Oryctolagus cuniculus: one gene and its partner. The protein of the gene in region 1 binds, or shares a complex with, the protein of each later gene. Links are inferred from orthologs where the notes say so. Each region holds a gene or a part of one and is shown on either strand. Other genes may lie near its edges.

Region 1 (3,543 bases):
AGTACACAGGGCCTGCAGTTTTCCAGACTCACTTGTTGACGTTACGTTTCAGGGTCTCCAGCTGCTGCCGCTCAGGAGCTGTGATCATCTCCTCGATCTCCTGCAGCTGTGCCGCCTCGGCGCCGGTAGCCTGCATAGACGCGATGATGGCTTCCACCCTCTGGGACTTCTCTAGTAGACGCCTGTTAGACACAACTCTGAGGCGAGTTCCCAACACCGGGGATTCTCTTACCCCTCGTCTCTGAGGAACAGCTCCCGCTTCCCCCTTTACCACATTCCTGGTCAAGGCTGCTCTTCTACACATTGCACTGGGTATGTAACTTGACTCCTGAAACGCTTACTGTCCCTCACTTCCCCTCAGTTTGGTGCTGTTGTATGTTTCTCATAAATTTAACTTGCGAAATTATGTCATCGGAGGTCTATCAGGAAAGTGTAGGTTAATGCACGATGCATGCCCACATTAGCCAACAATTCAACGCTACAGACTGGTTACTGTCTCTATTGCTATAGACTGGCTATTGTCTCTATTGCTGTAGACTGTTATTGTCTCTGTTGGCTTCCATTTCTACTGGAAACTTCCCCTCAGGCCTTTGCTTGAACAATGTGAATGACTCAACTGAAAATGCTACTCACTTGTTCTCTTTGGTTTCAAACTGCCTCCTTTCTATCAAATTGGCTATGCTCTGAGGAAAGAGAAGAAAAGCACACAACTCTGTTAAGTAGCACAGGTAAGCTGGGATCAGGGGCCTATGGGTGAGCCATGTCTGGGGGAGGGGACGGGGAGCTGGTGCAGTGGGGTTACCTTGTAGCACCTGTGCAGTAACATTCGGGCAGCTGAGAGCACGTTCACAGTGTATAAGTAGAAGGTCCTGGAGGGGGCGTGGTCTGGCGTTTTGGGGATTTCCTGTTTATCAAGAGGGAAAAATGAGAGGAACCACAGCACGCTTCACAGCTGGCACTGCAGAAGCACTGCTGCCCGGAGCCGCCTAGCCCGCCTTTCCCTCGCACGCTCGGCAGTCCCCTGCCACTCAGCACCTGTGTTCCTGGTGCGTGGCTAGTCGCGTGCTGTCCATTTCACCTCCAGCATTCTAAGTGGCAAAGAGAGGGAAGGTAACTGACATTTACTGAGCAGCGCCATGTGCCGGGGAGGTTGCAGCTGATCCTTCTAGCAGGTGACATTATCCTACTACCCTCGCCCATCAGCATGTTAGAGATGGGAAACATGACGGTAGGTAACTTGCTCAGTGTAACTGGGGCAGAGGCTAAGCTGTGATCTGACTCCAAAAGCTGTTCTTTCTGCTTCTTCACAGACTCTCCTGCATGGCTCTGTGTGCACCCCCAAATGCTGTGAACAGATCTAATCCATTATCCATTTAAGTCATGAGGAGAGGGCAGGGTAGCTTTCCGGTGATTTCGTGGCTGTAACTCTTCCTATCAGGCCAGCTAAAGCTCCACATTATCCTTCACGTGCTTTCTACGTCTTATGAGTCACTTCTTCTGTCTCTAAGCTGGGTACAGAGCTTGTTTCAGGGTTCAGGATATTTTTTGTTTCGGAGTTTTTCTCACCCTAGGCCAGCTTTGCAGGTTGGCAGTGATTACACCATTGGTTACCTGGAGTGAAATGAAATTTTCTGACAGCATCTTATAAAGCATATCTTTTGCCTCCTTTGCAGGAATCATTGCAAAGTCTTCTACCTGCTTCTGCTCCAAGTGTTTCTTTTGCAAAACTAGACGGAATATTCTGGCACAGCGAGATCCAAACCTGGAAAGGAATGAAGAAAGCAACTGTGCATGCTAACACATATTAGCTTCAGCTCCTAACCACAGATGGTGATTGTTCTCTTCCATGTGTGCGGCAGACCAGAGAGGAACAGTGATCACGGATTCCTTTCACAGCTCCACATCACTCCACAGCGATGGTACTGTTAATCACAGTAAGGTAGTCACCAACTGTTGACTTGTGTGAGTGCCACAGTTCTTGCATGTGCCACAGGCTTAGGGAGGCTAGTTAATCTGCATCACTGGGAACTAAACAGATCTGCTAAGGCACACGGTAAAACAAGAAAGGATCCATAACAGTCCAGTGGGAAAATGGAGCAAAGTGTACCAAGGTGTGCATATATTAGCTGTTTACATAGTGGCCAAATTGCTTGTTTGAGTGGGGTATAGATAAGGAGGGTCTCATCCCAATCCCAATCAGAGTGACCCCTTACCTCTCCTGTACGACGGACTCCAAAGTGGCTGTGGCTAGGGATGCTAATGCCTTGTGGAGGTCTTTATGTAGAGGATTAAGGTCACTCACTAATGTTTGGCCTGGTCATCACTAACTTGAAGTTAAAATTTAAATGTTATTAGCCTATAAGCGTTATAAAATATTACCCGATGATTGTGTTTAAGTAAGGGGCTGGTGTGATTGCAATTTGGTTGCTGATAAGTCCGTTTCAGGGGTAGGCATTTGCTGCAGCAGTAGGGAAGCTGTGGCCCACGTTGCAGTGCCTGAGTTCGAATCCCGGCTCTGTTCCTGATTCTAGCTTCCTGCTGATGTGGTTCTTGGGAGTCAGCAGTGGTGGCTCGTGTGGTTGAGTCCCTGCCACCACGTACAAGATCTGGATTCAGTTCTGGGCTCCTGGCCTCAGCCTGAGTGAGCCCCAGTTGTTGTGTCTGGGGAGTGAAACAGCACATGGGAGATATCTGTCTCTCTTTCAAATAAACTAAATTTTTTAGAAGTATTTTTTACTTTATCATCAATGTGGTTCATTGAAAATTCATAGAAAATTACTTCAATTCAGTATACTAAACATTATCATATCCTTTTCTCCTAAGCTGTCATTCTGCTTCATGGTTCAGGCTGCCTGACTCGAAGGAAATAGCTGGTAAGGATACTGATGACATACATTCCTCCACCACTGTCGCCAGACTTCCCAACAAATTCTAGCTATTAAAAAAAAAAGAGACAAGAGAGTGTTAAGTGAATGGAAAGTCTAGCGATTCTGTTCCCAATGGAGCAAATCTAGCCAAGGGTCTACAGCAGATAGCCCTTCTATCAGATGATGGTGGAGACACTGAGCTGCCTAGGTAGAAAATGGGGCTACAGGAGAATGATACACAGTATCAGTGGCAGAAATAAATTGTAAATAGAGCAGAATAAAGGTGGGGGGAGGAGCAAAAATAAACTTACTGGATCGTCTGCCAGCAGAGTGAGATACTGATCAAGAACTTGCTTAGAGATGTTATAGCCAACAGGTAGGGATCTGAAGATCTATGTGGGAAGAAGAGGAAGTGGGTTGGAAACTTAGAATTATTGAAACAGAGATGTCTTAATTTTAGATGTCACAAATATAAAAATGTCTGGAAACAATCACAGCAGCATTGTTTGTAACAGCAAAAACTGAGAAACAATCCAAATGTCTGGTACTAAGAACTGACAGCAATAAAGGCCATCTCAGCCCTCTGTGGAAAATGATACGGCCATCACAAAGAATGAGGATGAAAACATGCATGAGACAGATCTACAAATACTGACATAAAACAAGTTTTACATAT
Region 2 (4,076 bases), on another chromosome or scaffold:
CCTTCTCTCTCTGTATTAACTCTTTCAAATAAATAAATGTCTTAAAAAAAAAAAAAGAAAGAAAGAAATGTACATCTTTCTGCTTGTTATCCGAAGTGGAAATCTCTCCCAGGGGAATAATTCAAAAGAAGAAAAAAGTTTAACACACCATATGTTCACTATGTATGTTGCTTAAAAAAAAAAAAAATCCAAATGTCCAAACAGGGAAACAGGTAAATCAAGATCCAGTCCCTGGGCTGGCATTCTGGCCCAGTGGGTAAAGGCGCTGCCTGCAGTGGGCGCCAGTTCAAGTCCCAGCTGCTCCACTTGTGATCCAGCTCCCTGCTAATGTGCCTGGGAAAGTGGTAGAAGATGGCCCAAATCCTTGGGCCCCTGCACCCACGTGGGAGATCCCAGCTTTGTGGCCAATTGGCAAGTGAACCAGCGGATGGAAGATTTCTCTAACTCTGCCTTACAAAAAAAAAAAAAAAAAAAAAAAAAAAAAAAAAAAAAAATTCCAGGCTGCTGCCTGTGATACCAGCATCCCACGAGGCCCAGGCTCCTTGCTTCTGCCTGGCCCAGCCCAGGGTGTTACAGTCATTTGGGATGGGAACCGAAGCCAGGAGCCGTAGGCAGGGCTCCCACGTGGGCGCAGGACCCCAGAACTCCGGCCATCCCCGAAGGACACTTTTCCCGTCAAATCACAAGGGCCAGAGTCACGACAGAAGCTGATCGGATCCGTCCCTCCCGCGGCAGAGCAGACTCGGTTTCCGTCTTCTCTCCAGGACCCGGGCGACCCTGAGCCCAGAACGGGGGACGGGGCAGCCGCTCCGGAGACGCCCCTGAGCCCACCCCGGACGCCCCGCCGCTGCCCCGCGGCAGTGACCGCCCCAAGGTCACCACACAGCGCCCGCAGCCGGGGCTGCCCGGGGCTGCAGCCGGGCCCCGCACTCCACCCCGACGCGCGACCCCACTGCTCCGAGCGGCTAAGTCGCGGCGAATTCCGCCCCCGTCCCCACTGCCCCGTGGGGTGGGGGTCGCCAAGGCGCTGCCTGGAGCTCGGCGCCCCCACCCCTGGCCCGAGGCCACGACCCACAAACGCCGCCCCGTAACGTAGCCCGGACCGGCCCCCCTCACCCCAGCTTTTTCGCCCTCTCAACCCAGCTTTTCCCGACTCCGGGAAGAACCGGGAAGAGAAGGCGGAGGGCAGCGAGACGCCGCCTCATAAATACTGTGGCCTAGCCCCGCCCCCAATCGTCACTTCCGCCCCGCGGCAAGATGGCGGCGCCCAGGCGCTGCCACGCAGACTTCCGCCCGGCGCGGAGACTAGGGGTCGGCGGCGAGTGGCGTCGGCTGTGAAGTGGGGACGCGCGGTTGCGGAGCCCCAGCGGCGTGTGCGTTCCTGCCTCGGGCCTGGCGGGGGGCTGGGAGGGCAGGTTAGAGCTAAGGGCTCCGGCCGGGGTGGTCCGGGGCGCCTCGCCACGTGGGAGGGGGAGGAGCCGAGACGCAGCCCGAGGGACGCGTCGGGGGCGGGTTGCAGGGGGAGCGGCCCGCCACGTGAGTGCGGTTCCGCCCCGGGTTCGCGGGTCCGTCTCCGCCGGTGACCGGGCGCCCGTTCTCTCTCTCAGGCAGCATGTCGGAAGGAAGCGCCGCGGGCGAGCCCGGCGCTCCGGGCACCCCCCGGCCCCTGCTCTCAGGGGCCCGGGGGCTCATCGGGCGGCGGCCTGCGCCCCCTCCCACGCCGGGCCGCCTTCCCTCCATCCGCTCCAGGGACCTCACTCTCGGGGGAGTCAAGAAGGTACCCGCCCGGCGCGTTTCTCAGGACACTCAGCTGTTTGGCACTCCAGGCTCCCAGATTCAGCAGATGCCCCTGTGTGGCTTGCTGTGTGCTGGGCGTGGTGTTGGGGCTCAGTCAAGTCTGGGTGCTGGCCACGAGCTGTTGAGGTGGTTTTCAGAGGATCGCGCCTGGTTCCAGACGTTCCAAAGAGCAGGGTTTACTTTCATTGTGCGTGCGTGTGTGTTGTAGAAAATGCTCTGTGTATTTGAAAGAGTGCTGGCATGCACCTGCTGGCTCACTCCCCAAATGGCCCCGATGGTCCGGACTGTTCCAGGCTGAAGTCAGGAGCCAGGAACTGCGTCTGGCCATCTTCTGGCTTCCCAGGTGCGTCAGAGGGAGCTGGATGGGAAGTGGAGCAGCCAGGACCCGAGCTGGCGCCCCAGTGTGATGCTGGCATTCCAGGCAGAGGCTTAACCCACTGCACCACAACACTGACCCGCTGACCCCTTAGTGTTTGTTTGGAGCCCCCTTTAAGAACCCTAAGATAGCCAGACAAGCACAAACGCCGCTGTCAGTTTTGAGAGGGTCCCAGAATCCTCTGGTAGATTCTGGGCATGGCATTGGGGCCCGGTGCCCTTTTCCACGTGACTGTGGCTGTGAGGAGCTCTCAGAGGGTTGGGGGTGACAGGGAATGAGACAGAGCAGACAGCAGCCAGTTTTGAAAGATTTACCTGTGTCTCGGGCCAGTCTGGTGCCAGTCTAACCATGTCCTCTGTGAGTGCTGGCAGATCTGTGTTCCCTGCCTGGGCCTTGAGCGAGAGCTGTGTGCCTGTGGTACTGATTGGCCCCCGTAGCAGACTGGAGATGAGAGACATCAGACAGGTTTCTTTGCATTTGGAGGTGCTGGTGGGGCTCTCAGAGGGCAGAAGCTGCTAGTTAGGATGGTGTCGGGTTCCCTGCTGCCCGTGTGACTGTGCTGCCGCCGTGGCAGGATGGCTCTCCTCGCCAGGCAGCTGTGTGTCTGTGTGAAGGTGTGATGACAGCGCAGTGTGTGCAGAGGGCCTCAGGGTGGGCTTGGTCCCCAGGAGATGCCCTTTGGGGGGTCAGAACGGATCAAGTCAGTGACTCTTGCATTTTGCTTTCAGAAAACTTTCACCCCAAATATCATCAGCCGGAAGATCAAGGAAGAGTAAGTAGCCTGAATACTTGCCCCTTGTTTCTTTGCACAGGCTGGGGCTGTGGGGGAAGTAACTAGCTTATGGCTCAGAAGTGTAAAAATTTGTGTGTCCATTCTTTGCACTGGTGATTTTTTTTTTTTTAAGATTCATTTATTTTACTTGAAAGAGTTACACAGAGAGAGGAGAGGCAGAGAGAGAGAGAGAGGTCTTCCATCCGATGGTTCACTCCCCAGTTTGGCTGCAACGGCCGGAACTGCGCTGATCCGTGCCAGGAGCCAGGAGCTTCTTCCAGGTCTCCCACACAGGTGCAAGCACCCAAGGACTTGGGCCATCCTCCACTGCCATTCCAGGCCATAGCAGAGAGCTGGATGGGAAGTGGAGCAGCTGGGGCTAGAACTGGTGCCCATAAGGGATGCTGGCACTTCAGGCCAGGTGTTAACCCGCTGTGCCACAGCACCGGCCTTGCACTGGTGATTGTTAACCCTGGCTTGCAAATGATTTTTTTTTTTAAAGATTGATTTATTTGAAAGGCAGAGTTACAGAGAGGGGGGTGGGGGTGGGTCTTCCATCCGCTAGTTCATTTCCCTCTAAATGGCCTCAGTGGCCAGTGTTGGGTCGGGCGGAAGCCAAGAGCTTCTTCCGGGTCTCCCATGTGGGTACAGGGACGCAAGTACCTGGGCCATCTTCTACTGCTTTCCCAACAATAGCAGGGAGCTGGATTGGAAGAGGAGCAGCTGGGACTCAAACTGGCGCCCATGTAGGATGCCAGGTGATTCTTAAAGTGCAGGCCTTCAAAAAATACAGATCCCCAATGCTGCATCTCTAGAAATTGTGATTGGACTAGTTTGCAGTGAAACAGAGTGATGCTATCTTGCAGCCAGAGTTGAAAGGCAACAGTTTAAATTTGGGGTGAGGAGTGTCCGGCTTGCAGGACATCTGTGGCCCACGAAATCTGGTGTGACCCTGCCAAGGCAGCCGTGGGCAGAACTCCCAATTCAGTTAACTCTCCGGGCAGCTAATGTAAGTTGATGACTGTGTATGGCCTGAGAATGATGTTGTAACTATCAGAATAGCCCGTGGCAGGAAGGAGGTCAGACAGATGTGACCACGCTTGCCTTGACGTTCGTTTGTATTACAGCCTT

The links. The genes of interacting proteins can lie anywhere in the genome.
Region 2: POLR3C (region 1) and POLR3D share a complex: the UniProt entries of both Homo sapiens proteins name them as parts of the RNA polymerase III complex. The link is inferred for Oryctolagus cuniculus from reciprocal best matches to the Homo sapiens genes POLR3C and POLR3D.

Annotation. Positions count from the first base shown.
Region 1 is NC_091438.1:49,048,808-49,052,350, forward strand, and holds part of POLR3C (DNA-directed RNA polymerase III subunit RPC3), read right to left. Parts: intron 3,260-3,543; coding exon 3,179-3,259; intron 2,936-3,178; coding exon 2,884-2,935; intron 2,874-2,883; exon of another isoform or gene 2,811-2,873; intron 2,275-2,810; coding exon 2,214-2,274; intron 1,763-2,213; coding exon 1,612-1,762; intron 1,089-1,611; exon of another isoform or gene 1,036-1,088; intron 905-1,035; coding exon 803-904; intron 684-802; coding exon 634-683; intron 183-633; coding exon 33-182; intron 1-32. UniProt on the Homo sapiens protein: DNA-dependent RNA polymerase catalyzes the transcription of DNA into RNA using the four ribonucleoside triphosphates as substrates.
Region 2 is NC_091439.1:1,079,425-1,083,500, reverse strand, and holds the start of POLR3D (DNA-directed RNA polymerase III subunit RPC4), read left to right. Parts: upstream 1-1,239; 5' UTR 1,240-1,373; exon of another isoform or gene 1,374-1,415; intron 1,416-1,607; 5' UTR 1,608-1,612; coding exon 1,613-1,777; intron 1,778-2,901; coding exon 2,902-2,945; intron 2,946-4,076. UniProt on the Homo sapiens protein: DNA-dependent RNA polymerase catalyzes the transcription of DNA into RNA using the four ribonucleoside triphosphates as substrates.